Linked DNA regions of Alligator mississippiensis. The protein of the gene in region 1 interacts with the protein of each later gene in a pairwise test. Links are inferred from orthologs where the notes say so. Each region holds a gene or a part of one and is shown in the gene's direction. Other genes may lie near its edges.

What was found.
Region 2: the proteins of ZC2HC1A (region 1) and CASTOR1 interact in binary tests that used the Homo sapiens proteins (3 or more experiments, as listed by UniProt). The two-hybrid records come from large-scale screens. The link is inferred for Alligator mississippiensis from reciprocal best matches to the Homo sapiens genes ZC2HC1A and CASTOR1.

Annotation. Positions count from the first base shown.
Region 1 is NC_081826.1:55,109,886-55,125,553, reverse strand, and holds the start of ZC2HC1A (zinc finger C2HC domain-containing protein 1A), read left to right. Parts: upstream 1-8,302; 5' UTR 8,303-8,367; coding exon 8,368-8,383; intron 8,384-15,668.
Region 2 is NC_081833.1:27,634,483-27,650,174, reverse strand, and holds the start of CASTOR1 (cytosolic arginine sensor for mTORC1 subunit 1), read left to right. Parts: upstream 1-7,831; 5' UTR 7,832-7,871; coding exon 7,872-7,984; intron 7,985-9,203; coding exon 9,204-9,274; intron 9,275-15,692. UniProt on the Homo sapiens protein: Functions as an intracellular arginine sensor within the amino acid-sensing branch of the TORC1 signaling pathway. As a homodimer or a heterodimer with CASTOR2, binds and inhibits the GATOR subcomplex GATOR2 and thereby mTORC1.

The DNA of each region.
Region 1 (15,668 bases):
CCCCTGAGAGCACTGGTGTACCCCCCTGTCCAGCTGCGCTCCCTGCTGAGGTGATGGGCAGGGGGGGGCAGGAGGGAGTGCCCCCCCCTGTCCCCCCCACTGTGAGCACGGGCTGGGGAGTGGGAGCAGCCACTTCTGGGAGCACTGTGGCTGCTTCCTGGTAGGTATGTTTTGCCACAGCTTCTCTGGTTAGCTGTTCTAGTGCTTTAGTACCCTCCTAATGAAAGAGTTTCTCATAATATTTAAACAAAACTTCCTTTGCTGCAGCTGAGACCATTGCTTCTGGTTTATTGTCTGCCACCAATGAGAACATTCCATATCAGAACAGAGGGATCAGAATTTGGCAGCATTTTGTATGATCCTGTGGCTTCTCACTTGATACCTCCAGGTTTGTTGAGTTCCCTGGATGTAACTGGGCTAAACAGATTTCTTGATGTAGAACACCTATTCCTTTGTATGATAGGTAACTAGGAAACCTTAGTCATAAAAGGCATTAGAAGAAATTTTACAAGTTAAAACTTAAAAGTCCATTAGCAAGGAAGTGTAGAAAATTTTAAGTTAAAAGCAGCACTAGCACCACCTACATTAGCTCCACCTGTCTCTGAATAAATAAAGAAAGAAAAACCTAATGAGAACATGATTTTTTGAAAATATAAATTGACTCGTACAAAGATGTGCCGAAGCTAGACAGGCATATTTTACAGTGCTAGGTAGAAAAAAGCATTGTTTCTGTTTTTGTCTGTCTCTTATCTGGAGTTTTACAACCTCTGCTTTATAAAATGATTTAAATTCAGATAAGGCACAATGTTTGGTACCGTTCTATTACCGCACTAGCTACTAAGATTGTCAGAAAATAGATTCTAGAGCCCTAAATGCCTTCCCACCCGCCCTGCCTCCTACCAGCTTTGAGCCTTTTTGGAACCCTTTTAATTTATGTCTTCACTTTTCTAGCCTCAATGTGCAAAGCATAGTACAGCTGTGCCCATGCATGTGCACATGCACTAAACAGTGTTTATGACAACATGGTTCACCATGATTACACTGCTGCTTATGGGATGGAATGTCTCATTCAGCATAATTTGAGTCCCCCACAATAACTCAATTAACAGTGTACAAATGTATTAAAGAAAAACTGAGTTGATAAATTGATTGGCAGGATAATCGCAACTCTCCAGCCTTGAATACAAATCAGGATTATAACAAGAAGAAATAGAACAATAGGCTCTTTCCCAGTTCATAATTTGCAAGTATAGATCATTAAAGCAATTGAATTGAGATATTATTTTAGTAGGGAAGTAGTAATTCTTCTATCTCATCCACAATGAACTTTAATTGTAAGTTTATTATGATTCTTTTTTAATCACCTGTCCCTTAGAGCAGGCACATCCGAAACTCCAGGGGCCTAGGTTTTTTGTAAAATATATTCATTAGTATGCTACTTTGGGAAATCCATCCCTATGTAATGTTCATTATTAACATGAAAGATGCTGATTTTCAATAAAGATTTTAATCTTCATTACAAAGAATCAGAAAGTGTAGGAGACAATTTTAAATATTAATTGGCTCTTCAAATTTAATCTATAAACTTTCTGTGAAAATTTATGGTAAAATAAGCAACAGTTAAGCACTGTGCTAAAAAAATAGAAACACCCACCAAGATCTACAAAGCTAAAGAATTAGGCTAGCATGTTTAAAGCTCACCAGCTGATGCAGCCAACAGCACACAAGTAATGTGGTTAGTGGCCTACAACTAGGCATGAACGGTGCATGCCCCTGGCGGCTGAGGGTGCACGGCTGCGCTGGCGGCTGTGGGAGTGTGGCAGCAGTAGGCGCAGAGCTCTCGCAGATGCCATTGGCACTGTCAGCAGAGGGGGGGAGGTGGGTGGTGAGTGCCAACCAGGGGTCAGCGACCACCCTCAGGCAGCATCAACAATGGCCAGGGGCGATCGTGGACTGCCCACAGACGCTGCCAGTGGTGTTGGCGGTGGGGTGGCGAGTGGTGACCGCCCACAGATCAGCAGTGCCTTTTTGCAGGGGGTGCACTGCCATGCTCAGGGGGTGCACATTCACCCGTGTGCACCCCCTATGTGTCACCCCTGCAACTAGGTACTTATTTAATACTACTGCAATGGCTAGGTGAAGTCTTCAACACCAGCCCAGAGCAAAGCTCAAACTCTATCTCTGGAACTCCAGCAAGATTTTGAAACTATTCTGGCACTACACCAGGAGTTGGCAAACTTTCTAGAGTGGCAGGCTAAAATAATACAATTTGGTAGGAAGGGGGCCAGTGCTTCCAAACCAGTTATCTCTGCTTATCCCCACCATTGCATGTGCAACCTACCACAAAATCACTCTGCTGCCAAAATGCTGCCAACATTCATGCGTTGTGAGCTGAATGAAATTACTTGGCAAGCTGAATTAAATTTGCAGGCTGTGAGTTGCTGATCCTTATGTCATCCAGTACTGAGAACTAAGGCCTACAGTTTGTGACAGTGATTTTGTGAGCCTCTGCCTGGGACTTCCAATTTGAGGAAACTTAGGAGCTGAGTTTATTGATAGTGTAAAATCACCAGTTTCTGAAAATCAGTCCCCTTTTAATATTCAGGTTGGGAAATCGAAATCTTGAACATTTGTGCTAAAGAAAAAAGATATGAGATTAAATCCTATCTCAGCTTATATATAGTAGGGAAAAGTTGTAAAGTCCTCACAACCTCAGGTAACCTTACTTCTCCTTCCTGGATTTTATTCCATTGGCCTGGTGCCTCTGGTCTATCAATAGCTGCTCGTTGCACTGTTTATTAAATAAACTCTTTGGGATTGGGTCCATATTTTATTCTACAAAGTGTTCATAAAATCAGAGAGATGCATGTATCTCTAATGAAGAATCATCAGTGATTAAGAGTATTGGGAGCATTCCTCAGCCTACACCATTAAGGCTTCCATTGATGGTGCTTCCACTGCTGGTTTATTTTTGTTGGTTTCGCTGGGCTGAGAATATCTTTGAATCCTAACTACTAGTTTCAATTTTTTAAAATTTTCACAAAAAAAGAAAAAAACAGGAAACCCTTTAGACTTTAACTTATTTTTGCCCTTACCCGGAATGTTAATATGCTTTTCTAAAGTTTGAAGAAAATTTAAATTTAATGTTTAAAAAATGGAGAGTTTTTCCCATGCTTTTAATTTTTTTTCATATTGTTTTTTGTTTGGACTTGGATAATTCAAAGTCTCAAGCTGCACATGTATGTGCTCAAGAAACTACAGTATTTTATTTCTCAATCATTTTAAATATCATGAAATTGTCGTTGATTGCATATGATCCTAGACTTATTCTACATGTTTTCCTTACTAATTAAGTATGCATTAAACATGGATGTCTGCACCACTATGAGTATATATGGAAAGTAATGACTATAATAAATGCTGCTCGTACATTGTGCATAGTCCCTGAAATGGGGATACAGATTGGTATAAAAGAAACTTTTGTTTTTTCTTCTAAAAACAGCCAGTCATTCATTATCAATGCCACAAATCAGTGTTTGTGATATTACTATTGCTTTGATAGTTGATTGTATGATAGCTGATTGTTTAACTTACAAGCTCATAGTATACTGCAGTGGTTCCAAGGCACTCTTAGACTTAAGGCATGCCTCAGAAAATGCCAACTCAAAATTTTCACTCATATTTTGACTGCAGAAAAATAATAGAGCAATTTTTCTGTTGCAAAGAACTCAGAAAAACCATGGCAGGTTGGAACATTTTTAACACTATGGATTCCTATTTGAAATCTCTTGAGTTTATTGCATGAATCATGTTTGGGCACCTAACTATGCTAACATTATGTGGTACCCTTGAAAGGATCTCAGGGCATCTCAGGGTGCTTGTGGCACTCTGATTAGGAATGATTGGTATAGTGAATATACCAGTTAGTGGTATATATGGTGGTTACTGGTATAGTGGTATATGTATAGTGAATATACAGGTATAGGTATAATGAATATACCAGTACCACATTACATGGTACCCTTGAAAGGATCTTAAGGCACCTCAGGGTGCTGTAACACCCCGATTAGGAATTACTGGTCATAGGACAAAGCTATTCATACAGAAATACTGCTGGAAGTGGTCGTAAGGGGGGAAGAAGAAGTGTAAGCTTGCGATGGGTTCAAAAAATAGTGTAGCAAAACTGTAGGAATTTCATGTTTTTAACACAGTTCACAATGGCTGTTTAGAAATGTGAGGGGCAGAGGGGCACAGAATTCTCAGCCTGTAGTTTGTAATATGGAGGTGCAACTCTCTGAATTGAAAGAAAAATCTGGATAGGCTAGTAGGTGTTCAAAGCTTATGCCACACATTTACAATTTTGATTTTACTCATTGGAGTGGTGGTATGCATGCCTGTACACACATACAAATACATGCTAGCATGGGCAGAGCCAGGGTTTTGTAAAGGGGTTGTGCGGGAGCAGCAAATGACATTGAAGGGGTGGCTCCAGCCCTGCTCCTAGCTTCTCCTCTGCCCTCCTCGAGGGCAGGTGGACCATGCCATGGGAACAGCAGCTGGGGACCTCTTTGAGTCTCCAAATAGGGTAAGAAATCTGCCCCCCTCCCCTTGCCCCCTGTGCAGGGCATTCCCTCCCTTTCTCTCCATGCTCAGCTTCACATTCCCACCTCTCCTATTGCCTCTCCACCGCAGTGTGCAGCCAGGCTCAGCGGGGGACAATAGCAGCAGCAGTAGGCAGGTTCCCTGTCCCTGTGTCTGCTTCCAGACTGTGGGGGGAGGGGGGGGGGGAATCTACCCACTGCTGTGGTTGCTGCTGTCCCTGGCTGAGCCCAGCTCCCTGGAGAACCCAGCGGGAACACGGCAGGAGTGGCTCGGGAACTCCCCGCTGCCCCGAGTCACCTAGGGACAAGGGCAGCAGTGAGTGGGGGAAAATGGGGAGGAAGGAAAGGGATGTGCTGATGAGTATGGAGGGGAAGGGAGGGGGAAATTCTTCCCTGCTTCAGGGACTTACTATAAGTCCATGAATGCTGCCCCCACAGCATAGTCCAAAAGTGCAATGTGACTGTGCCACAGCACCTGCTTTGGATCTGCCCCTGCTAGCTAGCTAGCTTTTTATTATATTGTGTCTACACATTTCCTGGGGCTTGTCTTTTAAAACGAGTTGCTACCAATGAGCACAACCATATTAGAAGCACTAGGAGATCTAATGGTTACTTCACATCTGGCAGAGTGTGATCTACCCATGGTAGAATTATTCAATGCACATGGTTTCCTTTACACTAGGAAAGATTTTACTAAAAGACATTTTATATACGTAATAGAGTCAAAGACCAAATTAAGAACAACTCCCCTCCCACCGTCCAATCTAAAAAGGCACAACAACACAGCACTCCTTGAACTTAATACCAACTGGCATGCAAACAGTTTTCAGATGTTGGTAAACTCAGTTGCAATATTGAGTTTTTCAAGGATGTGAACAGATTGGAGAGAGTTCAGAGGAGGGCAATGAGAATGGTTAGGGGGCTCGGGCACATGACTGAGGAGAAGGTGCAGGAACTGGACTTAATCTGGAGAAGAGAAGACTAAAGGGGATTTAATAGTAGCCTTCAACTACCTGAAGGGTGGTTCCAAAGAGGATGGAGCTAAGACTCTGGTGACATGATAAAACAAGGAGCAATGGTCTCAAGTTGCAGCAAAGGAAGTTTAAGTTAGATATTAGGAAAAATGTTTTCACCAGGAGGATAGTAAAGTACTGGAACAGGTTACCCAGAGAGGTTGTGGACTCTCCATCCTTGGAGGTTTTTAAGACCTGCCTAGACAAAGCCTTGGCTGGAATAATATAGTTGGATAGAGGAGTTGGACTAGATGACCTCCTGAGGTCCCTTCTGCCCCTATTTTTCTATGATTCTATTGCAAGCAAATACATTAAAGGGGGTGGGCGGATAGAAAAATAAATGCCTCTGATGAAACTGGCAGATAAGGTTCTTTGGGTAAAGCTGATATTTTTTATTAGACCAACTCAAATAGTTGGAAAAATTCTTCTTTGCAAGCTTTTGGGTACAAATACCCTTTGTCATGCTGAGAAAGCATCTGCATTTGGTGTGTGCTCTTCCTGGATGGAATGAATAGCAAAGAAACCAGAGGCTGGTCTGCATGTGTAATCCAAGAACACCCAAGGGTGTGCCCGTCCTCAATTGGAAGGGATAGATGAGGCAGGCGACAGTGGTGTAAGAAGGACACCGGTGATTTGAGCTCAGGTCCCTCTTTTTTCTATACAGTCAACTCCACACCAATGCTCTTAACTATTTACAGTTTATTGAATTATAATATAAATATTATTCTTATCCAATATGTATAGGTAAGTATCCTAATAGGTATCAAAGGAAAACTTCCCAAAAGTATTCTTAATGATATCATTTCACAATACCAAAGGAATACAGATAAATATTTACAATATAAGCCAGGAACCCATTATACAAAACTAATCCAATCCCATAACATGTTGTACAACATATCCATAATTACAATAACAATCATACAAAATATGAGGCACAGTTTTACACGATATAAAGGCATGTTACCCCTGGATCCCAGCTAGCAAGGGGTGCTTCCTCTCCTATGGGTCTAGTTGGGAGGAATATTTTCATCCAGGGCGTCCCTCTGGGAGTGTGCCTTATTTCAGGAATGTCTCCCCTGCAGGACCTGAGTCCACCAGCAACTTACAATTTTCTTCGAGGAGCCATTGACCGGGCCTTGGGGCCCTCCGCTCAATCAGAGGCCTCACCAGTGCTGTCTGCTTCATGCCGAGACCTCCCCTCCTGGCCCTGTGTCCCACTTTGGGCACCGAGGGTTCTTCCAGCTCTCGTGGAAGGGAATCTAGCCGTCGCTGGCTGGGTTTATCTAGCCTTATGCCTGGGCCTCCCTTTTCCTGGGTCCTGCTCTAGGCTCCAGGGCTCTTTTAGTTCTTTGGCAGGGCCACACTGCGAGACTCCGGTTATCCGGCTTATGCTGGGGCTAACCTGAGCAGCCTCACGCTGCTCCCAGGGCAGGTTCTCCATGTGCCAGACTGCACACCGTGTGGGCCCGAGCAGCCTTGAGCTGCTCCTATGGCCGGCTCTCCGTGTGCTGGTCAGCACACCGCTCTGTCCAGCCCTCGGCTGGGGATGCAGGCTCGAGCTGCCTCGATGCGGCTCCCAGAACCTGAGCCCCATGTGCCAGCCTATGCACTGCTGCGGTGAAGAAGGGATCCTGGTCAAGGCTCTTCCCTCTCCAAGGTCTCTCACCACGCCCCCCTGCGTGGCTCATGCTGCTTCTTCATACCGTCAGCAGGCTCCACCCTGAAGTCCAATGGACCTGCAGCTTCCAGGTCTAAACTGCCTCTGGAGCTCCTTGGGAAAGGGGTGGTGCCAGCTCCTCCCTGCTCTTCCCTGATTGGTGGATGGGTGCCACCAATCGGCATTGAGAATTCTCAAGTCCAGGATGCACTGGGGCTCAAGCAGGTAAGTCTGCCCCATGCAAGACTGGCAACCAGGGAAGGTGTAAATTGAGGAGTCAGTGGGTGAGAGACAGGTTGCGGTGGGGGAGGGGAATGACTATAGCTGGTAAAAGTGGAGAGGTACCTGAGGAGTCAGATGTTAGGGGTGTTATAATGTGTCATAAATCCAACGTCTGTATTTAGTCCATTACTTTTTGTATCCGGGACTGTGATGTCAAGTTCATTGGCTTGTCTGTGAAAGGTCTTTTGTAAATTCCCTTTGAGGATTAGAAAGTATTATTATTTATTATTTTTAATTATTATTATTATTTATTAGACCAACTCAATAGTTGGAAAAATTGTAGTTGGAAAGCTTTCCGGTACAAACACCACTTTTCCGGGGGGGGGGGGGGTGCGTATTCTCTGGTAATTGTGTACGTGCACGTGCACGTGCCTACTGTGTTCTCTGGTAGGAGGGAGAGGGAGAGCGAGTACACGCCAGGGCTCAGAGTATTTCCCGGGAGGTTACTGTCCTCTTTCGTCTTCCAGCAGTTCTGCCATCCCTGCAGGAGGCTTTCTAATTCGGGACAGGAGGCAGGAATGGAGGCCAACGGGCGGCGGCGCCTCCAGAGACGGGAGACTGCAGTAGCAGATGGGAGGCAGCGCGGCGCGGAGCCGAGCCCCAGAGGGCGGGGACAAGAGGGGGCGCGGGACAGCGACCACAGATGCTGCGGCCGGGGGGGCGGGGCTCGGCGGGGGGCGGGGCCAGACGGGCCTCCGGGCTCACAGGCGGGGGCGGGGCGGCGCCGGGCCAATGGCAGCGGGGGCTGGGCGGGGCCGGGTTGCCGGAGCAGCAGCGGCCCAGCGGGCTGAGGGAGCGGCCGCGCTGCGCCATGGAGGGGCTGGAAGGTGAGGGGCGGCGGCCGCGCATCTCCTCCGTGCGGGCCGGGCCTGTGGGGCGCCGGGGCTCCGAGCTGGGCCCGGCGGAGGGGGCTGCTCCTGGGTCGGCCCGGCCCGCGCCGTGCCGCAGACAAAGGGCCGCTGCTGGCCCGAGCCGCTCCGCGCGCCTGGTGCCCCGGGGACCCCAGGAACGGCGGGGCGGGGCGGGGCGGGGGCGACTCCCGGCCTGGCCCGGCCGCGACGGAGAGGGGAGGGGGCTCCGGGGTGTCCGGCGCTGTGAGCAGGCCTCGAGCAGCCCCCGCGGGCTCCTGGCGCCCTTTTCTTTCGCGGGGTTGACAGCCGGCAGCTCTTCCCCCGGGGCCTGGCAGGGGGGGCAAGCCGGGTGGGGGGGTCTGATGCAATAAGTTTTTGGCCCCACCAAGTGTTTCTGGGGTGCACTCGGGGGAGGATGGATCTGGCCTTCAAGGGTGGGTGTGGCCTCTCCCACGAGGGTTTGCTCAGCGGAGGGGTGCCTGACTGGCCCTGCCTCCGTGTGGGAGCGTGGATAGCACCCAGGAGATCATAGTGGGGGGAGCATGCAGGCAGCATGGCTGCAGATAGGGCAGGGGGGCACAAGGAAGAAGAGGGCAGCAGCGGAGCAGGCGGAGGCAGGGCCAGGAGCTGAAAGTGGAGGGGGAAGCACAGGGCTGGGGGTCAAAAGTGCTGCAGATTGCACAGGGCAGGGGGATCCGAGTGGCACTCGCAAGTGTGGCAGCCCTCCCAAAAAGGTATGATGGCAGAATATGGCCTGCTCCTTCTCTCAGCACCGACTGGCTGGTTCAGAAACATGTCAAGAACCGTTTGCATTCTGTGTATTTTAGACAGCTTTTGGGACTAGATGGATGGATTATGACTATTCTAATATGAAATTTCTATAGATCAGGTGGCCCCTGGCACCATGGCATCTGGTCAACAGGGCTCCCCACGGGTTGGGAAATTTGGTGTCAGGGGAACAGTGACAGTTAATGCCATCTCCCTCTCCTGCTGCCAAATTCCTAAGCTCCATGGCCAACCCCCATGGCTGGCTTGGGGGCCAGGCCACATCCCCTTCCCCCAGGAAGCCTGGAAGCCTGGCTGTTCCCTCCTCCTGTAAGGCTGGATCAGGACTGGGTCATGCCTCATCACACCAGGTTGCAGCCAGGTTAAGTCCCCTTCCTTCAGGTGACTGGATCATAACTGGGCTGCCCCCAGGCCCTGGTTTGCCCTTCTCCGGAAGCCAGATCTGGGCTACCAGCACGATCTGGCCTGTGGATAGACAGGGAAAAAGATTGTGTACCCTTGCTATAGACCATATTCTCAATGGTGGTGCCATCTTTTTGAAAAATAAAATTGTTTTTATGGCATGAAACTTCTGTTTTCTTTAAGAGCATTTCTGATTGACTTGAACATAGCAAATGGTAGCAGAGATGTTGTTTTCTGTCCTTTTTATTTATTTGTTTATTTATTTAAATTAGTCATTTGTTTTTTTGTACAGATTGTTTTTCCATCTAACTTTTCTCCCACATAAATGTTCTGCGAGTTATGAAAAGTATGTATTCAGTAGCTTCTTGACTTATCATTGTATTTCAATATTTCAGTCATTTAATTTCAATGAGAAGTAGTTTTTTTCTGTTTCAAAGTATTATCTAGCAACACTTCATCCATTCTTGTTGCTGTAAGAACGGCTGGGTATATATGTAAACTGCTTTTGTTTACTTTTGTTGAATCTGCACCTCTTCTGGCTGTGAAAGTGTTAGATCTCACAAGTTGTCTCACAAATCATGTCTAATCAATATTTGTGTGGAAAGGTAGGGTCCAAAGTAAGGATGACAAAGTGTATGTTGAAGTATTTCAGAAGACAGACTGCTACTTGATGAGTCATTCCTGAACTTGATACTGTTGTTGGAGGTGCCCTCTTCGATTTAAATACATGTATTGAGAACAGAATGCTTTTAGTGTGGGATGCCACCCATCTTTGAAACTTGATCTTCTTTTTTTCCCCCTCCAGAGAGCTTAGAATCATAAGATACAAAATCTATTTTGAACCAGCTTCTAATTAATAAGTGGGGAATTTTATAGTGAGGGATGCAGGAAGTTATTTGGGCAATATTGGGTGCATCTACACATGAAACTAGTGCACTTGAATAAACTGGTGCATTTCGCACCAGAGTTTATTGCTCCTAACCACAGTGTTTACACATGTGCCTGGGCCGCAGCACATTAAGCCAGGGTGGTGCAGCCCTGCCTGGCGGGGGAGCTGGGGGGTGAGCCTGCTCTGCCCTGGCTCAAGCGTGCTGTAGAGGGGCTGACTGGGGCACGAGGGTGGAGATAGCTGGCAGGCAGCCCCCACAGTGCAGCACCCTTGTGCCCCAGCCAGCCCCAGTCACTATTTACTCTACTGCAGCACACTTGTAGACATCTTTGCTTTAGTAAGATAGTACTTGTCAGGCAGTGCTGTCTTACTGGGGAGTTAACTACTTTAGTCTGGCCTAATACTAGTGTTGCTCGTGTAGACGGTGATGCTTTACTGCAGAGGTAATTAGTCAACTCCATAGTAAAATGCACATGTAGATGCCCTACTGAATAGTGTATGTTTATGTGATCCTACTGATTAGATCTTGGAGCTGTTAGTAGTATTCAAAGAGCTTAATTACAAGTTTTGTATTGTAATTCCATCCCACAGCAAGTATGTTAGAGCTGTCTAGATTTGTAATGAGATTGAAGCAAACCTTCTCTGACATGGCTTCATTACTTTGCCGAAACTTGCTTCGATTTTCTTTTTCTTTCATTCTTTTTTTTTCCCCCCCACACCTCCCTCAACCTTTAGTTTTGTCACTTCCTACACTGATTCTGAAAGCCAGATCTTGAACCTACTAAGTTGGCTGCAGGAAGACCAGGTCTTGCACATGTTATTTAAAGTGACAAAACTGTCATTATAGGTTTTTACAGCTAAATCTAAAACTGCTTGCTTAGCTTTCTAAAGGCATTGTGGAATCTGCATGCTAATAAGATGTTTTCCTGAGGAAAAAAAAATGTTTTTATTAACTTACCATTTAGCTCTTTAAGAAATAAATTTTTGAAGACAGTGCAGGGCCTGATTTTTTCAGATGTGCTGACTGATATATCTGTAGTTTCCATAACTTTAGTTGAAGTTTTTGTTGCTGAGAGCCTTTAAAAATTAGTTCCATGGTTTTTCAGGGCCATAAATAGGAATAATTTGATAGATTAGCTAGGGACAGAAAGATCTTATAATAGTCATCATAAAATGTTTTATGAAAATGAACATAATTGCATTTCAAGCATTCCTGCCTGAAATGGGACACCCAACAACTTACCTGCACTGTGGTTTATAACAGGATTTCAAAACATGTTAAAGTATTACACTGGGCTTGTGTCATGGTGACTCATGTGACTTCTGTTCTATGGTTTTATAGTTATATTTTCCTCCTTCTTAAAAAAAAAAAAAAAAAAAAAAATCCTCTCTCTCTGGTTGCTTGGAAGGCCAGAGTTGTTATTGACAACTTCAGTTTGTTTACTCTATTTAGAAAGAGCTTGCATTGGAACTGAAATAGTTGAATAAGTCGAAAGGAAGAAATTATTCCTTCCACGCTTGCAGAAGAGGCTATTCATGTTGAAAAACAGCATTGCAGTTCAAGAAATGTGGTTTCAGCCAAGGCCTTCTAATTCAGTGGTTTGACTTTCTTTACTGCTTCAGCAACAAACATGTACTGCTTAAGGTTTTTTAATTAAATTTAATTTATTGTTTTAATAGATTATGACAGGCATCAGCCTTAACATAGGTTTTTCATAATTTTAAATTAAATTTTAGATGTTTAGCTACCACTTGTCTTCATTGATAGTTGAACTCTCCGCTGATAAACCAATTCTCTTGGGTAGGCACTAGATTGATTACATTTCAACAGTATAGTGTTTGAGTGACCTTCCATTATCAGCATTGTGCCAATACTCCTCAAGAATCTTAGTCCATGACAGAGATAAAAAGAGAGAAGATTGATAAAGACCAAGAATCTTGAAGTAGAGCTTGCAGTATGACACAATGGACAGAATCTCAAATGGAATCCATAGTTCATATGTAATTTCCTCAGATCATTGCAGTCCTCCAGTGACTGGCCACATTTGTCTAATAATTACTTTTTTGAAATTTATATGGGCCTAATCTAAGCATCTTGAGGTTGAGCGCATCAAACCATGCTGTTGATACATGTCGGGGTGGCATAGTTGCTTCTAATTCACAATGAAATTAAGTTATTTAAAACAAAGTTTATATTAACAAGCTATGATGATCTCTAAGTATAGAGATCCCTAAAATATATATTTTGCATATTGTTTTTCATGCATCACAAACTGACTAATGGATTATATGTTTCAATTCATGAAAGGTGCAAAGTTGTTATAATTCTTATCTGAGTGCCTGGCTTTTCTGAGAGTAGGAGCCTGTTTCAGGACTCCTGCTTCTAACTTGAGGTCACTGTTATCTCTTCAATTCTTAACATTGTTGAATTTGATTACTGTCATGCTTCCAGACATCCCACCGCATGAGATTAAGCTTCATGCTGAATGCTGGGAAGTGGGAATGAGACTGGCAGACTTGCTGGTATAATGCAGACACATGCTTTGTGGATATATTCAGTCTCTAATTAACCAGTGTTTTAGAAAGTGAGTAATGATTGGTCTGCTTCATAGGGATTCCTTCTGACAGTTTATATTGTCATTTCTAAAATGGAGGGTTGCTTTTCCTGTACTTTTTTGGCACTGCAAAAACAATATGGATTCCCCATCTTCCAAAGACCTGTATTCAAACATAAAACCTTCCCAGTGACCTTAGCAATATTAAGACAAACTAACTTTGTGAATGTAAAGTCAATGCAGATCAAGTGTGAACTTGATGAAGGTGGGGTATGAGTTACTTTCTGTTATCTCTTGTGAATGGAATAAAACTTATAGTGTCTTTATTAATAGCATTTAAAATAGGATGGTAGAGAAACTTCCACAATTCTTTCTTCTTAAATTATACAGTCTTCTTAAACAGTCAAAAAGTTTTTGGTGTGTAGTGTGTGTTCTGGTATGTCCTGACTCTACTTATTATTTGCTAAGATTGAAGGACCTGCCCCTCACTAGAAGTATATAAAAGGATGAGAATTGAGAGAGAGCTTTATTTGTAACTGTGGTTAAAATCGACTGGCTTCTTGTGCTCTTGGATATCTAATGTGAGGCAGTCTAGTGAATAGTTCATCCAGACTGGAGTGGATTGCCAAAAGTAAGTCTTTGCGACTTTGCATTTCTCAAACAAAGGTATTGAGTGTTGTTAGTTACAGCGTGCAGAGTACCTTATGTATGTGCCCTCTACCATTTATTTGCATTTTTATCATGTTTGAAATACAGACTTGGATAGCATGTAACATTCACATGGAAAATTTATAAAATTGACAGCCCATTTTATTAATTATCATTAGTATTAATTATCATTATCATGATCATTATTTGTATTCCTCCCCTTACCTACCTGCCTTAGCCCTTTATATATTTTTAATAAGCCGTCTCAAGAAATATTTCTTAGTGTGGTATATTTGTTATTGCACCTTCACTTTTGTTTGCTTATCTCCTCTCTGTTTAAAATTATTAGGGATATTATAGCAATGCAGACAACATGGAACAGTGAAAATATAATGGCAGTGGTGTTCATCCACTGGCTATTGTCTGAGTTGACGTTAGCCAGCCGCAATGTCTTTTCAAAACAAAAGAATATGAGGGGGGTATAAGGACTGAGCTTTCTATTTCGCTGAATTAAATGGAAAACTAGGAAGTTAGGGAAGAATGTATTCTGTTCTGGAAAATATGCTAAAAATGGTGAAAATTGGAATTGTACATGATACTTTTTGCTGAAGTTGAATAATTTTGACTGTATGACTGGATGATTTCTAAAAGTGAATGGGATGCCATACCAGAGAGTTTTAACAATTTTGAATGGGGTAAGGTTTAATAGTGTTAATATTTTTTTCATCACTAGAAAGGCTAAGGTACTAGACTGTTGGAGCTAGACTGTTCTTAGTGGTGGCATATGCTGCAACTCGAGACCATTGCTCTTTTTTCTATCAAGGGAAGTTTAGGTTGGATATTAGGAATAATTTTCTAACTAGGAAGGCAGTAAAACACTGGAACAGGTTACCCAGAGACGTGGTAGAATCTCCATCCTTGGAAGTTTTTAAGACCCAGCTAGGCAAAGCTTTGGCTGGAATGATCTAGTTGGGGATGGTCCTGCTTTGAGCAGGGGACTGAACTAGATGACCTCCTGAGGTCCCTTCCAACCCTTATTTTCTATGAAAAAGGACTTTATTCGTGCAACAATGAACAAGGGATCTAAAAGGCATTTGAAAGGACTGTCATACCCTTATTACTACATATAATTAGTATCTTTTAACTTTTGATATTTTTAGCTTATAAAGTGTATCATACATAAGTTATTACACACTACTTTTAAAAACAAAGAAGAAAACTACAATAACATTTCAATCTATAAAAGTTCAGTGACACCTTCTAAATCTCTGAGTAACCTGCTGAGCCTTCCCTGTTAGTAAAAACATAAGCAAATGGGGCTCACAGTTTACCCTTCAATAGGCAGCTTGTGAAATTTTAAGTGGAAGCACATACTGGAAGTCAAGGGGATAAACCTAGCTATTAGCAATTTGTATGTTCCATCATATCTCAACTGCTCTATTAGAACACTAGAATATTGTGTCCAATATAGGTCCGAATGTACCTGTAAGTGTTCTGAAAGGCAGAGCACAGGCTTTCTGTGGTCTGTGTGACTGATACTGATAAGTAAGTAGCTAGCCAAATTCTGAAGATTTCAAGAGGTAATCATAGATTGGTCCATCCAGTAAATAGGTAAAAGTCTGTAGTCAAAGATGGAAAGGTCTGCTATATACAACTATATAGTAGAGCTAGAGCCACATCTAAAATGAGTGCTTGCAGTATCTAATGGTTGCATTAAACAGTCTAGCAAATTTTTTTAATGTATTTGGGGTAACTTCTTGGCACAGGTAGTAGAGAGGCCAACTTGCAGGGAATGGGCAATGGTGGGGTGGAGTTCTTCCTGGCTTGTTGCTCACAAATAGGAAGGAATTGCTTGAGAGTGTGAAGATAACTTGGGTGATAATGACCACAAAATGACAGAGTTCGGAATCCTAAAGCTGGGCAGGATTCCTGGGCGGGGGGGAGGAATCCAGGAGAGCTGGCTTTACTTCAAGGAGGCCAT
Region 2 (15,692 bases), on another chromosome or scaffold:
TGTCTCCTACTCCCAGGGGCTGGAAGGCCTGGCATAGAAGTAAAAGGCACAGAAACAGCTGCTTTGAATTAAGGAACAGCAGGGTTCAAAGCCAGGTGACAACATGCAGTTAGCATGAATGGTTGGTATCAAGATCCAAAGCAACACAGTCACTGTGCCTTGCTGCAGTTGACTGGGGTTTCCCTGTACATTCAGTTTGGTACCCAGTGAGCAAGGATGGCAACTTATCCACCAAACACTCTTCACTTTGAACCTGCAGAGGGAGAAAAGGAAGGGCCAGGTCAGGTTGCTCCTTAAGCACTGCCACTAAAATCCTGCCCAGGGTTCTAATTTAGTATCAGCCCAGGAAAACATGGCAAGACAGAGTTCTCTACACGCGTTCTCCCTGGGCAACCCCAGCAAGAACTGCTGCGTTTGGAACGTGCTGCAGTGGTGAAGGAACCTTATCAGGAAGGTCGCTAAAAAAAAATAAAGGCAGGCAATCATGAGTCCTTCAAAGAGCCAAGGCACAGATAAGAGCTGCATCAGCCCTGTCTCCCAAGACCGAGAGAGATCCTGGACTCTTCTGGAAAAGAACAAATTAGCCTGTGGGATCAGAAACTGTTGAATTAGAGCTGGGTCTGGACAATTCCAGAGGCAAACATGTCGGAGTAATGGGGGGGACATCAGAGCTGGATCCAGATCGTGATGTGAAAACTGTTGCCACTCATGTTTCCAGTATACGTGCATCAACTGATTGGGCACGGCTCAGTTCAACCAAAGAAACAACAAGGCTGTTTAAAAAAATGGGATGGAGCAGACTGCACTGCAGGGCCTGATTCCACAGTTTCTCTGACATGTGCTGGAAAGGTTGTATTTAACACAGTTGGAAAAGGGGTGGGGATTTCAGTACTGGTGATCTGAATGCTGGTCACATTATCTTCACACTCTCAAAGTCCCTGGGTGGAATCAGAGCTGGGTAAAACTCCCAAAGCTGGTGAAGGTTCAACCTGACGTGCACTAAATTTCCACTGTTCAAGTGGATCATGCGTCTTGGCATCTGAGAAATGGTCTATAATTTGGATCCTATAGGTTAGGGGAAAAGCCCCAAATCTAACACAAGTACATATGTATCTGAGAACCTCAGTGCTATGCACAAGGGGAATATTACTTCCAGTTTAGAGATGGGAAAGCTGAGGCATGGTAGGGATACTGACCATAGACTAGTATCCAGGCAAAATCCAATATCCAATATTGGAGACTGATTTATTTATTGGCCTTAACTGAGGCACAGTGTGAGCATGCGCAGTTTCACAGTAGTAAGTGAAGTGACCTCTGGGGAATCAAGCTGGGGGAAACACCTTATATCCTGGGCCATAATTTACCTGCTTCTGTCCTGTGACAGAACCCACTGGAAACCGAATATGAGACTTCAATTGTAGAACTATATCTCGCAATTGAATTCTCATATTCAGTTTCCAGTGTGTTCTGCAAACTGGTTTCTTTCCCTTTAAAATCTGAGTCACAGGAAACCTACAAGAAAAAAAAGAAAAGAGTGAAATCTCCCCACAGGGGATGTGAAAGGAAACTCTAGCCTGCAACATGCTGTGCTGTGTGAACTTCACTTAAATGAGGCAGTTACATTCAAAGGCAGGACCTGGGCAGAAGCCAGGTCTGTGCGGGTAATGCTGTCTGCTTAGGCTTCTGGACAAATGGAAAATGTGATCTTGCTCTCTTCTGTCCAAGATGCTTTTAAAGTAGAAAATTGTCGGGACCTGGTTTGTTTGGTGAGTTAGGGGAAGCTGCAGTGTATCAGATTGTATCTTTGCCATCCTTTCACAGCTACACCAATCCCAGTACTTCCTTCCAATTTAAAGTCACCTGGTGAAATGCAAAGATGTTCCTGAGCTTGTAGATTTTGGAATCTGATCTCTGAAAGCAATGCAAGCAATTCCTTAGAAGGAATCTTGTGTGTGTTTCATTGAGATATAGAACATCTCGTGATGTCCTGCTCAGTTTCATTTTGAATTTTCCGGTCTAAGTCTCATGCACACCATTTCTGATTTGCTTTTGAAAGAGGGACAAATGTGTGTGTGGGGGGGGGGGGGGGGGGCGGGGTGTGGAAAGAGAAAGATCAGTGCAGTGGGGGCCTGGGGATAAATGCCAGTGAACATACCTTGGAACCTAAAGCCTGGGGCCTTTGGATTAACATACTTCTGAATATTTACTGTTTTGCTATGAAGGAGTCTTTCTAGTAGAAGCTGATCCAGGATCTCTGGTATGACATGCCTGATAGAGATAGTATAGGCACCTGAGTCCCAATGCAAAGGAGACCCATTGTACTGGCTGCCTAAATCCCAGGGAATTCAATTGAAAGGTCCTTCTGGTTGAAGGTGGAAAGGCAGGAAGGGTTGTTACATGGGCAGATATAGGATTTTGAAAAGAGGGGTTGCTGATAGTATAGAGCAGGGGTGGGCAAAATGCAGCTCGCTGGCTGGATGCAGCCCACCAGGCCATTCTATCTGGCCCATGGGGGCCCCTAAAAATTTTAGAAAATTAATATTTATCTGCCCTGGGCTGCCTGTCATGAAGCCCTTGATGGCTTGCCAAAACTCAGTAAGCGGCTCTCCGCCCAAAATAATTGCCTGCCCCTAGTATAGAGTACCTCAATACACATTGTTCTCCAGTTGAAAAGAAACTAGAAGCTATAATAAACTAGGTGCCAATCAGTTTAAGATTGAAGCAAAAACAAATACAACTTCATTGGAATGTGCATTACTTTGCTATATTATATACATTTAAAAAAACCACAACAAACTAGGCAAAACAAAGTCAAAAGATGTTGTTTCATTAGTTCTGTAGCTGCATCCCTTTAGTTCTCTGGAGACGATGGCAGTTCTTCATGCTGGTCATTGGTTGTCTCGGCTGTTCATCAAGTTGCAAACATTCCATGCTGCAAAAATCATTGTCTCATGAAGCTATCAAGCAGAGTAATCCCACTGGTTGCAGTTATACAGCCAGGAGCATATAATGCAGCCTAGGTTTAGGGCACCTCTTCTAGCCCCCTCCCCATGTAGGGTGTGTATAGAGGATCCTGAATAAGACTGCTCAGTCATGGCAGCAGCTGCTGAATTGCACTCCTGTCTCAACCCAGCTGCAGGACAACCATCCAGCTACTGCCACCTGCATGCAGATTCAGGGCTGGAGACTGCCAGATTCAATAGTCCTATCTCTGTCACCACTGATCCATCACCGCAGGGCTTTTAAAGGTTGGTATGAGAGAGTGTTGTTTCCTGTGATAAAAACCTGTGCATGACTTTGTTTAATAGGAAGAAGCTAGTGCATGGAAACAACAACCACAAGATCTTAACAAGGTGGAGATCTGGAGCCAGTGGCAAGGGAGAATCCCAGATAACATGAATACCTCCCCCCTTCCTGTAACTTTTTTCTGTCTTTACAGTGGTTGAGATCCTGGCATCTTTTTCCACCTGATCCGCTTGGGAGTAGACCATGGTGGAACCTCCCGTCAAGCTTCTTCACCATGGGTGACCCTGCCAGGAGTGTAAGACTGTGGACAACATAGCTCTGAGGATCACTGTGAAATATAAGCCTCTCCACTACTACAATGTCTTGGTCCACAGAGAGGATTGCTGTCGACGTCTCCTTTTTCAAATTCATAAAACAAAGTCTAGCCTTCTTAAGCATTTTGACAGTGAATCCAATGCTTCTCTTGAAAGTTATTTCTGTAAGTTAATGTTTCCACACTGCATTAATGCTTTTACCTAGCATTAAAAACAGTCTGTGGGGCTGTGAAACAAGAGTTAAGGGCATCTAACACAGCAGACTTGCAGAAGAAAGGATAGCTTAATTAGTGGAACATCAAGATCATTAAAAAGGAGAGGTTCATTAACTCCTGTGGAATGAAGATTTTAGAAGGAATTCAATAATAAAGAACCATGAGATCAAGTGACTCATTCTCTGATACCTGAATAGAAATACTGCTGTCACTGCTAGGCAGTTGGTTTTAAACTTTGGGTGGACCAAAAATCAAAGGAGGCTACAACTGCACCACTGCACCCCCCTGAATCCACCCCTGGTTGTTTAGTATTGGCCAGATCTACAGATAAATGCTTAGTTTAGGGGATCTCAGATAGAACAAACTGTTGTTCATGTGCTGTACATGCTCTTAATCATGGCAGCTGCAAACCTGGAGTAACTTAATTGATTCATAGGAGTTTCTCCAGACTTACATAGTTGTAACTCAGAGCAGGATTTAGCTCAGATGTTGTTAAACTAAGAAGGCATGTTAGCAAAGTGGTATGAACCCAATGGTAGCACCTAATTGACCTAGACTGGGGTAGTTTGTAATTGTCTGCAGCCACCCATGCAAGTGACAGACCTCTGCTTCAGCACATGCTAATTAGCACATGTGGGAGCAGACTCAATGAACTAGTCTGCTGGAGCATGCTAATTAGCCTTTGCATCAGGTGTATTCAGCGTCCCCGCATTTCAAAATGGCGGTGGCGGCATTTAACTAAAGCTTGTTGAACAGCTTTAGTTAAAGAGTCCCCACTGCCATTTTGAAGCACAGGACGCTGAGTACATGTGACGCTGTAAGCGCTTTAATTAGAGCGGCTCTCAGAGTCTCTAATTAAAGTGTCCACCCTAGAGCACGTGTATAGACACCCTACATCTTTAATCAGAAGTGGCTGCCTGATTAGGTTACAGTTCCCAGCATACAATATCGTATCTGGCTGCTTGGCCTGTGAGTAAATGTGGCATCCTTGTATCTATACTCTCCAGGGCCATGAGACAGATCTCCGGGGGCTGCATTCAAGGACCACACAGCTGTTAGGAATATCGGTGCGGCATGAAAAGCAGAGAAATCATGGGGAGAAAAGAGTCTGTTGCTAGTGGTTACATTTTCCAGTGCACTACATATCATTGTTAAACGGCTCACCAGTCAGATCAACAAGCCTTGAAGTGGGTCACTCTGAGCATCTCATAGACATTGAATGGGAGCCCTCTGAAGCTCAGGATGCTGAATACAAGAGATGCCGCAGGCACTTTAATTACAGCAGCTCTAATTAAAGCACCCCCCCCCACCCCAGAGAACATGTAAGTACACCCTGTGCGACTAACAAATACTCACCAGCTTGCAGGATCCCATCTGCTGTTACCAGGGCTGTCCCTTCCCTGGGGGGGCGAATCGGGGCGATCGCCCCAGGCCTCACGCTCTGGGGGGGCTCCATGGTCAGTGCAGTATAGGCCCCGCTGCGGCTGCCACGCATGGCTGCTGCTGAGCACCACCGGCTCTGGCTGCTCGCCACCCGCCCCCACAGCTCCGCCAGCTCCTGTTGCTTGCCACACCTCCCCCTCCCCCTGGACCCCTCACACCCCTAGGGACAGCTCTGACTGTTACCCTCTTCCTGCTCTTATTCAACTCAGTGTATTTGCCATGGATTTCAAATGCAGTCAGTTTAAGGCTTTATTTTGCAACAAACCATACAGTTTGAAGAGTGGCTCTTAACCTATCTTTACTTAAGAAGAAAATATGTAGGGTTGCCTTCTAATGTCTGAGTCAAAGGGACTAATGCGGTTACTCATGCTGCCAACTATCCTAGTTGTACGTTAACTCATACAACCGAGGCCTACAGTTCAGGTGCTGTGCACCAGGGGTTTGTTCCCAGCTCGCCTGTGATTTATTATCTAGTAATTGTGTATTTGGTTTGCAGTACGTGGCTACAGTAGTGTTGTGTGGTGCTTTAATGAGCATTGTTTCCATGCTGGTTGCACAACCTCTCTCTCTGATATTATCTTCCCATTTGAAGATTGCCATTGATGGAAAGTTCCTAGCTCCTTTACATGCCAGTGAAAGCTTGTCTGTGTTTCAGAGTTAACGTTTCCTGGAAATCACCATTATACAGTGACAGTGGAGTTTGGCCTTTGTGGTGAGTTTGTGCTGATTCCAGACCCAACTTCATAATTCAATGCATGCAGCACATTCCTTGCGAGCACCACTGTTAAATAGTTTCATCCTGAGCCTGAGCTTGAAACTATGCTCTACTTACTTTCTGGCCTAGGAAAGGGTGAAAACACTGCAGTCATATTTGAATGTTGAGGGTTTGTAAATTAGAAGAACCACAAAAATATTTGGATTCAAGAATGGAAAAGTTATACCAGTCATAGGGATTATTATTACTTTACAGCATCTGCAAATACACTAAAACCTCAGCTTAGCAAAAAACATGCAAATGTGCTTTAATTGTAAGCACAAGTAGTGAATGAACCAGGCACTGACTTGAGGTATTTGGGCAAGGTAGGGTATAAGTGCTTTGCAGAATCTATTCCTGTAAGAGGCAGGTATTTGTCTTTGATAATTTACAGCCTAAATAATGGCAGACAGAAGAAGATATGAGCTACCCTGAGAGGAGGAGGAGGAGGAGGGAAGCAAGGTTACAGAAAGAAGATAGTTAGGTTACTTAGTTTAGGCCACAAGCTAAAAATATATTTTGATGATCCACAAGCTGCGAGGACTGGATAACCCAAGTGCAGACTCACTCTTTTCTTTGGGAAGCAACCCAGAATGATTTAAAAGCACTCTAGGAGCAGGTGGAGAAGAGTTTCTTATTTCATGCAGAGATTGGCCCAAACCAAAACTGCACCATTTCCTCCCAACCTCTCCTGATGTAGTTGTACTTCTTGGCCAGCTACACCCTTGACCTAGTGAGTTTGGCTGTAGTAACCGCCTATGATCTTAAAAGTCCTCTCAGGGTTTGCCTCATGTCCTAGTCCTAGCCAATCATTAACTGCCCAGTAAAGGATCACACTAGGATGGATTGTTAGTGGGTTATTCATTGGATTTATTTATCTTTGTGTCCTTATCCCTTCCTATTAATCTCTTACCTTCTGACCAGTGATCTAAGCACATTGCCTTCATCATGGCTGGGGCTGCTGTGTGAAGGGGCATGTAGAGCAAAGAGGCATCCATGAAGCTGAGTGTAAGGGGATGTTGCTGGATCATTGTGGGGAAAGGTAGCTCATGGCTTCACAGGTGTCTACTGGCCTTGAGAAGGAAAACACCTAGATTCTCAGTACTAGCAGGCAGTCAGAAGCTGTTCAACTGAAGGCTAGTGGGTAGCTGTGGTACAGAGGGGGGGGGGCATGGTGGCAGCAAGCAGGGAGCTCCCGCAGGTGGAGGTGGCAGAGTCAGCAGCGATGGGGTGTGAGCACCAACCAGTGGTTGGCGACCATCCATAGACACTGCTGGTGGCGGAAGTGTCGGCCAGCAGTGATCGGTGACCGCCTGCAAATGCCACTGACATTGTCAGCTGCAGAGGGTGAGGGGGTGGCAAGTGGCAACCACCCACAGGCACCACCAGCATCATTGGCAATGGCCAATCACAGGGGTGCACCACCAATCTCAGGGGGTGCATGTGCACCTGTGTGCAACCCTTATGCATCGCCAATGACTTGAACCATTATTTTTTTTGTCTGGAGAAGCAGAGGCTCCAATGTCACCAATGCCCTTGGCTACAGGTTGGAATACCAGGTTCTTGGAGTCTGGGACTGACCCAGGAAAATGGGCAACTTCAGCTAGTATGTATAGGGCTATCCTTGTGATGTTCACGTGGGCCAGCTTGCTGTGAAATGTGCAAGAGTCTGCTTTCATAAGACAGAATGAAGATTCGCTACCTCATCCAGACAACACTTTGTGCATGGCGCTGTACAGGAGCCAGCGGGCTGCGCGAGGAGGCGCGTCCGACCGCAGGCGGGGCTGCCACCCACGTGCGGGCCCCCCGGCCCCTCCCCGTGGGCGGGGCGGCCCCTTTATAGTGGCGGCGCTGGGCGCGGCCCCCTCGTCCCGGCGCGGGGCGCGGGCGGCGACCACCATGGACCTGCAGATCCTGGAGCACCGCGTGCGGGTGCTGAGCGTGGCCCGCCGCGGGCTCTGGCTCTACACGCACCCGCTGCTCAAGCTGCTCTTCTTGCCGCAGCGCAGCAGGTACCGGCGGCGCCCGGGCCGCGCGGGGGGAGCGGGTCCGTGGGCGGCGCGGCGCGGCGCGGCGCGGGCTGCCCCGCCGTGGGCTCCGGGTGATTCCGCTGAGGGCCCGGGGTGGAGGCTTCTGCCTTCCTGGGGGTGGGACTGCTGGCGAAGACGCAGCCCCTTGCCTGCCGTCCCGGGGTTGGTGTTTGCTCCGGAGACGGCTGTTTGGGTTTTTTCCTTCCTTCCTTCCTTCCTTCCTTTTTTCCCGACCTTGGAGAAGACTGATGTGAATGAAGTAAGAGTTGTAGGAAGTGCCACAGTGGCTGCTTGGGGTTGGCAGCTGCCTGGCCTAGCGCTGTGCTGGGCAGAGCCGGCAGGGCCACGACCTCCTCCAAGCGCCTTGTGCCTTGGGGGCCCTCTCATGCTGCCCCCTCCGGCCTGTCCAAGCGCTGGTGCGAGGCAGCTGCTGTGTGCCCCGCCTGCTGCTCCCTGCCTTGCATCAGGCTCCTTGGTGATTCAGCAGCTGGAGACTTTTCCTTGTTGCGATTTGCTCGCAAAATGTAAGTCTGTCTGATTGGTGTTTGGGAGTGAAATTGCCCCCAGGCCCAGACTCCTGGCTCTGCTCGTGGGAGCCTGTTTCCCTGTGCTGCTGCTTGTTCTCTCCACTGGGGCTAGAGAAGCTCGCTTCTAAATTCATGGGTCCTTTTTAAAACTGCTCCTCTGACTGTAACAGCCCTTATCCAACTCCTTCCAGCTTCCCAGAGGGTGTCTGCAGGGCATCTTATTTAAAATTGGTTCTTGTCACACTTCAGAGTCTTTGTGTAGACAAAAGAGAAAGAGAGCCTATAAAGCCAAACTGCAGCTAAAGTTGGATTGTATCTTTACACGCCAAACCAACAGCCCTGTAGGGATACTTTCAGCTGCGAAGAAGGGGAGTGAGGTCCTGCCTGCTTAAAAAAAGAAGTCGTGCTCACCCCACCCCACCTTTTTAAATGCTCAAGAAAAGCAGTGTTCCTCATACTCATGGACCACCACAGTGTTTCATAAGTGTCATCTGCTGTATACATGGCTTTAGTTCAGTTTTCAGAAGGAAATTAAGCAAATGGGGAGGGGAACTGCTTTAGGAGGCAGGAAAACTCCTTACCTCTCCACACATAATAGGAATTGATTTTGCCTGTGGCTAATGACCGATTCTATAGTACTGGCTCATGTGCATCACCTGTATTTGCTTTGGTAGGTGCAAGTTCTTTAGCTTGACCGAGACTCCTGAGGACTACACGATCATGCTAGATGAAGAAGGCTTTAAAGGTACAGCATAAGGACTTCTGTACGTCCAGGTTATAGTTCATGGCAACAGTGTATTTTATTTCACTGCCATATAACTACTGTTCTAACCCATTATTTTTCTCCACTGCAGTGAAAACCCTGCATGTGTTTGTATAAGGTAATAGGGTTGCCCCCCCCCCCCCCCCCCCCCCCCCTCGATACTATCATTAGTTGTATGGCTTTTTCTTTTACATCCTTTTGTCACAGAGCATGCAGGGCTGTATGAATAACCTGTAAGTCTTCTGACCTATTTTTTTTGTTGTGGATGCTTATGTAGAGCTGTATTGCATGTTTTGTAGCTGACTGAACATGTTAATGAGGGCTCCTCTGGTATTAGCTTATTGTATATGAGATGCAAATATTTAAAAAGGAAACTATGTGCAAGTATCAACCAGCTGTAGAAGGTGCTTAGTGGTTCTCAACCTAATACTTGTCAGGGGAGGTTTCTGTACATTAGTAAACTCTTCAGAGCATGTGGCAACATCCAGACTTAGAGTTATATGTCCCTGAAGAGGAGCTACTAGCTTACACTGCTGGTAAAGTTAACATCACAACAGAACATTACTGGCTTTCTTCTGGAAGCCAAATGGGTACTATTGGTGTAGTCCTGCCAAGTTTACTTTGTTATAAGTAGACTCTTCATAGGTAATCCAGTAAGTGGTAAAACATGCATGGAAAAGCCGCAGGAGATTTTGCTGTAGCACAGGGGTCAGCAACTTGTTTAGGCAGAGTGCCAGTAGCAGCCCATCCTTGACTTGTAAGATGTTGGCATGCCAGGGGCCAGATGGTGGGGCAGCTGTGAGGGGCCTGATCCTTGTTTTGGAAGTGCAGCTTGGCCCCTTCTCTGCTATCTGCCCTGAGGAATGTGTGTCAAGCAAAATGCCTTTGCATGCCACACTCTGGCATGTGTGCGGGGGTTACAAACCCCTGCTCTAGCAGCTGCTGGTAGTTTTTTTGCTGAGACCTGTTAAAAATGTCAGTCTTGCAGCGTTCCTAATACAGCTGAAGTAGTGTTGGGAAAGGATAAATGCTGAAGCTTCTCTAAAACCGTGGTGGGGCTGGGAGGAAGGGAGTAGCAGCGGAAGGAGAAGGATAAGCAGCCTGTAGGGAAGGTTCTGTGCAGAAGCTCTATGGTGGAGTAGAGAGATGGTAGCCTAGCTACCATAGTAGGGTCTCTTTTATGCTAATATGATGCCTAATTCTGTCCAAAAAGATGTGCTGTCCTTGGCATGTCTTGGGATAATATTCCTGAGCCTGTCCCTCTTCCCCCAACTGCTTCTGCTTACACACATGTAGCCTGGATATGTGGTAGGAATGCTGCTTGAGGGGCACTTCCTCCATGCTGTTTCTTGAGACCAGCATCTGGGATGATGCGGGGACTGCTTCACTACCCTATTTCCAGGTTTGGCATGTGTGGGTAGGAGTGAGCGTGCATGGGAGTTTCCCCCCAAGTCGCAGGAGACCCAGCATAGACATAGGCAGAGTAACTAGTAAATTCTCTACCTCTTACTCTTGTTTAAAATAATATAAATGATAATGTATGAATCTCTAGCTATGGATACCATTAAGTACTGGGCTGTCGCTGTCACAGCAAACCAGGGAGGGCCTGCTGCCATGCAAGAAAAGGAACCTGGCTGGTACTCCATGCCCATGAGATATGGTGTTTTTTAGTACTTGGCACAGGTATGACATTGTCCCAGGACACACTGATAGTATATCTGGGGAGAAATTGGGGGTCCAGGAACCTATTGTTTCTTATACTTATGTCATGTGGGTAGCTAACCTGTTATACTAGCCAAAAAGACTCAGTGAAAACTACCAAAATGGTTTCCCTCTTCTTCCAAACAAAAACTGGGTTGGGTGATTTGTTCCTATGCATAGATTTGTACTACTTGCTGGAGGCTTGTCAGAGGTGAGGGGAAGGGACCCTGTAATTGCAACTATGTGTATTTATGTAACTGCATCCAGCCACATGGGTGATGCTGGGGAAGGTGAAGCTGAAATAAACCTTGGTGGTGTTGTAGCTTTCTCTGGCATGCAACATACACATGTCCAGTGAGTGAGGCCTCTGACCTGTCAGAGGCTGAAGCAGATCTCTTTGCAAACTGGATGCATTTGATTTCCTACACCTGTGCCTTCCTGTTGAAGGACAGCACAGGCTGGCACAGAATGAAATGAATCTTTTTTGGATCTGGCCCAGAAAATGTCACTGACCTGGATGCTCCGCTCAGGTTTGCTGCTTCTTCCCAGCTGCAGCACATGGGTGTGTCGCACTTGGTACTGCAGGTTAGACTGGGTCTGATGGCTTTGCCAGTTGGCAGCAGTTGACAGTGGTTCACATAGCATAAATCTGCTACTTGGTGTTCATACTTGAGCTCCTAACCTGTTACAAACTCCCCTGACCTGCTGAGGCTGGTCTGGGATCTGTCACTTCAGTGCATGGGGTAGTGTGTGGTTCAACAGAATTTTACCTTGAAAGTTAAAGTTGCTATGATACAAAAAGCTTTAAGACTAGGCCTCTGTTGTCAGTCTTAGTGTAACAGCTTCTCAAAAGCTGTTTGTTTTAATGCATTTGTATATAGGAGAAAAACCCATGGTGGGGAGGAAGAATGCAGAGCAGTGAATTTGAGAGGAGTGTTACAGACTCTGTTGGATTACTCTTTCTATTCCAAGCTGTAATTTCCAGCAAAGTAAAAACTCTTTAGTGGGTTGTTATGAAGCCAGCCCATAGAAGTACACGGAAGCAGCCACATGCAGTGATATAGCTGTACAGTTTGAGAATAGCCATGAAATGAGCAAATGAACTAAACTAAATGCTGTGAAGTTTATAGTATGTCAGACAAGGAGCATATTAAATCATAGCCACTCTGTTGTAATTATTGCAGCCTCCTGATGCAGAAGGATTGCTCAGGAGCTTACATGGTGCTGGTTAAGGTAGTAACAAGCTGGTGTCAAGTACTCATGTGCCTGTGCAGTACGAGTACCTTAGTAGTGCCAATGCAAAGCCCTACACCAGCATTGCTGTATGGCAGGATGCATTTCCTTAGTGTAGACAGGATCCTTGAACAGGGGTTAGCCACGTCTGACCCATGGGCTCGATCTGGCCTGTGCAACCTGAGGGCATTGCTTATGTCTGTGCTGGGGCTAGGCAGCAGGGAGCTGTCCTGGGGCTAAGCAGTTAGAAGCTGTACCTTAGGGGTGGGCAAAATGTGGCCTGGGGGCCGGATGCAGCCTGCTAGGCCATTCTATCCAGCCTGCGGGGCCCCTAAAAAAAAATTTAGAAAATAAATATTAATCTGCCCTGGGCTGCCTGTCGTGTGGCCCTCGATGGCTTGCTGAAACTCGGTAAGTTGCCCCCTGCCCAAAATAATTGCCTGTCCCTGCTATATCTGCATCATGGCTGCTTCCCCTTGGCTGCGGTGTAGGTGCAGCTTCCAGCTAGTGGGCAGCTGAGCTGGGGATGGGTAGCTTCCAGTTGCACCCATACTGCAGCCAAGTGGGTAGAGTGCAGGCAGGGTGGCAGGGAGAAGGAGCAGATGTGCTGAAGCAGCTGGAAGCTGGAAGTTGCACAGCTCCTTGCTGGCTAGAGGCTGTGCCCATGCTGCAGCTGAGGAGCATGGAGCAGGGAGAAGCAGAAGTCTGGGTGCAAATCCCAGCTTCCCTGTCCCAGCACAGCTCCCCTCTGTGGCAGGGGCTGGGATAAGCAGTGGTGATGCAGACTTGGCTCACAGCTGTCTGGCCTAGCAGTGCATCGATAAAGATTTTCTTGGCCAATACTGATAGCAGATTGATTATTAACTAGCCATATTGGCCAATGCCAATCCAATATTCGATTTCCAGGAATGTAGCTGGGCAGCTTGGAGAGCACCGCTCTGTTGGTAAGTCTGTGCAGGGGGGAAGGAGCATGGGGGAGAGAAAAGGCTTGGGGAGGGGAGCAGATTGAAGCCCCTAGGGTGAGGGAGGGAGTGGGGCTGGGGAAAGTGCTGCTTAGCCAGGGTGGTGAATGGGACCCCAGGGCCAGGAGTGGGATGGAGCTGTGCGCAGCTTGTCCAGGAGGCATGGGGAGGAGGGGTGGCTCCCTGCTGCCATGCACATCCCCAGCAGAAGCATGGGAGGCATGTGCTCCCCAGATGGGGGGAGAGGGGGGCTGTATGCTTGGGGCTAGGAGCTGCACCAGCCTTTTCCCAGCAGGGATGCTAGGCTGGGCTTGGGGTGGACTTGACCGTGTGGGGTGGGTGATGGCAGTGCTGGGAGGGGAGCTGTGGGGGGCCTGTGGGGAATTTTAGGGCAGCTATAGCCCTCCCTAGTGCCACCCCTGCCCAGGGAATGCCACTCTGTTGCCTTTTCCTTGAGCTCTGTGCTGGTCCTGTATGGTGCTTCTGAGGGAAAGGAAGCAGAATGGAGTGCCCCAAGCAAGGGTGGTGCTGGGGGGCTTGAGCTATAGCCACCCCTCCTATGCTACTGCCACCTGCCCTGAGCCCAGCCCTGATCCAGCTCCCCTGCCAGGAAGAGGCTGGCGCAGCCACTGACCCCAAGCCTGCAGTGGGCAGCCTGCCGTGGAGGTACGTGCCCCCCATGCTTCCCCCGGGGATGCACACAGCAGTGGGGAGCCACCCCCCTCCCACCCGCCTGCACCCTCTGGATGAGCCACCCACAGCTCCATCCCACTCCTGTCCCTGGGGTCCCATTCACCGCCCTGGCTGGGCAGCCCTTGCACCTGCCCCACTCCTTCACTGTGGGGGGCCTTGATCTGCTGCCCCATGCCTCTTCCTGGCCCCCCTCCACCCCATAGACTTACTGGCAGGATGCTGCTCTCTAAGCTGCCCAGCTGCATTCCTGGCCGTGTGTAGTGCATGTGCACAGCCACATGCAATGGCATTTATCGGTGACATGATCAGCTACACAGGCCAAAAAAAGCTGATGGTGCATAGTTTTCCCTTTACTGGTTCTGATCTGATATGCAACCAATCGATCAGTGCACCTCTAGTCTGGCCCCAGCATGGGTGCAGGCAAACCTCCACCCCCTCACTGCTGACACTGCCAAAGCCACTGGCCTGTGCTGGACTATGGGATGTTTTGGCCTGTAGCTTGGAAAGGTAGCTGGTTTCTGTGCTAGAGAGTAAGGCTAAACAGTGTATCCAAGGCAGGTTGGAAGAACAGAATGGCCAAAACTTTGCAACCAACTTTTAGTTTAAGTTGCAGATGTTTGACTCAGAGTGCTAGAGTGAAGACTTTCTACATTTGTGATAAAGGAGTGACTCCCTTAGTTGGTGGTAGTGATAAGTGTGGTCTGGATGTGATTCGCACAGATGGTTTGGATGTATAACTCACACTGGCAGTGTCACTATTAGCTGAGAAAGCTAATAGGAGTCCACAGCCAGTCTCCTTACCTATAAGCAGTAGGTAGGATGTCAGCTACCCTGGTTGTTACCTGGTTCGGGAAAGAGATAACATCAAAGATCACTATACGTTCACATCTTCCTACACAGCTAGTGTTAAATTCAAAGTAACATTACAAATGAGAAATTATGGTAAGTTTTTTAAATACCAGCTCTTACTACTGGCCAAATAAAAATAATATCTATATGTGATTAAAGAGATTAGCAAGGAGGCTATAACCAAAGAGTCAAGAATCTCTCTGTTATGTAAGGTTAATAATGCCTGGCTCGTGCCATTTTATCCTGGTTCATTTACTCTCCTTCTTTTCTCCTCTTGCCCTAAACTTCTAACTCAGAAACCAACCCTCTCCATTGAGATTTGCTAGAACAGCTCCTGCAGAAAAGAGTCCTGTGAGAAAAGGGCCAAACAGGGTTTGAGACCCCTATGTAGATGTGGATTAATTAGGTCTCCTTCAGAGCTAGATGATTGCCTCTGAGGCTTTCTTGTACACAAGTGACTTAAATTACAAGTGTGGCAGTTTGGGAAAGCACTGATAAACCTATGACTTTGATTATGGGACACCACTTATCTGTTGGCCTTGGAGAATGAAGACCATTATCATTCCTGTATTGGCAAGAATCTTTCACCCGTAACAAAGGAAGAAATAAGTCGCCCAATTCCAATGTACAACAGTGTTCAGCACTCAAGTTCTGACATCGCTTTAGCAACCTGTGTCACTGCTGAATCTCAAAGTAACTGTGGGAACATGATTACATTCAAGAACCAGGTTTTCAGTAGCCAAAATTATATTTGATATGTTGTAGACCCTCCAGCAAAGGGAGAAGGTAATAACATAGTAATTAGGGTTGTGTCACTTAGAAGGCAGGATAGAAAGACCCCTGATCCCTGAACAGCACATGCCCCTGGTGGCTGGGGTGGGGGGGCATGGCTGTGCTGGCAGTGTTGGTAAATGTGGAGCTCCTGCAGATGCCTCCAGCGCTGGCTGGGGGGGATGGCAACC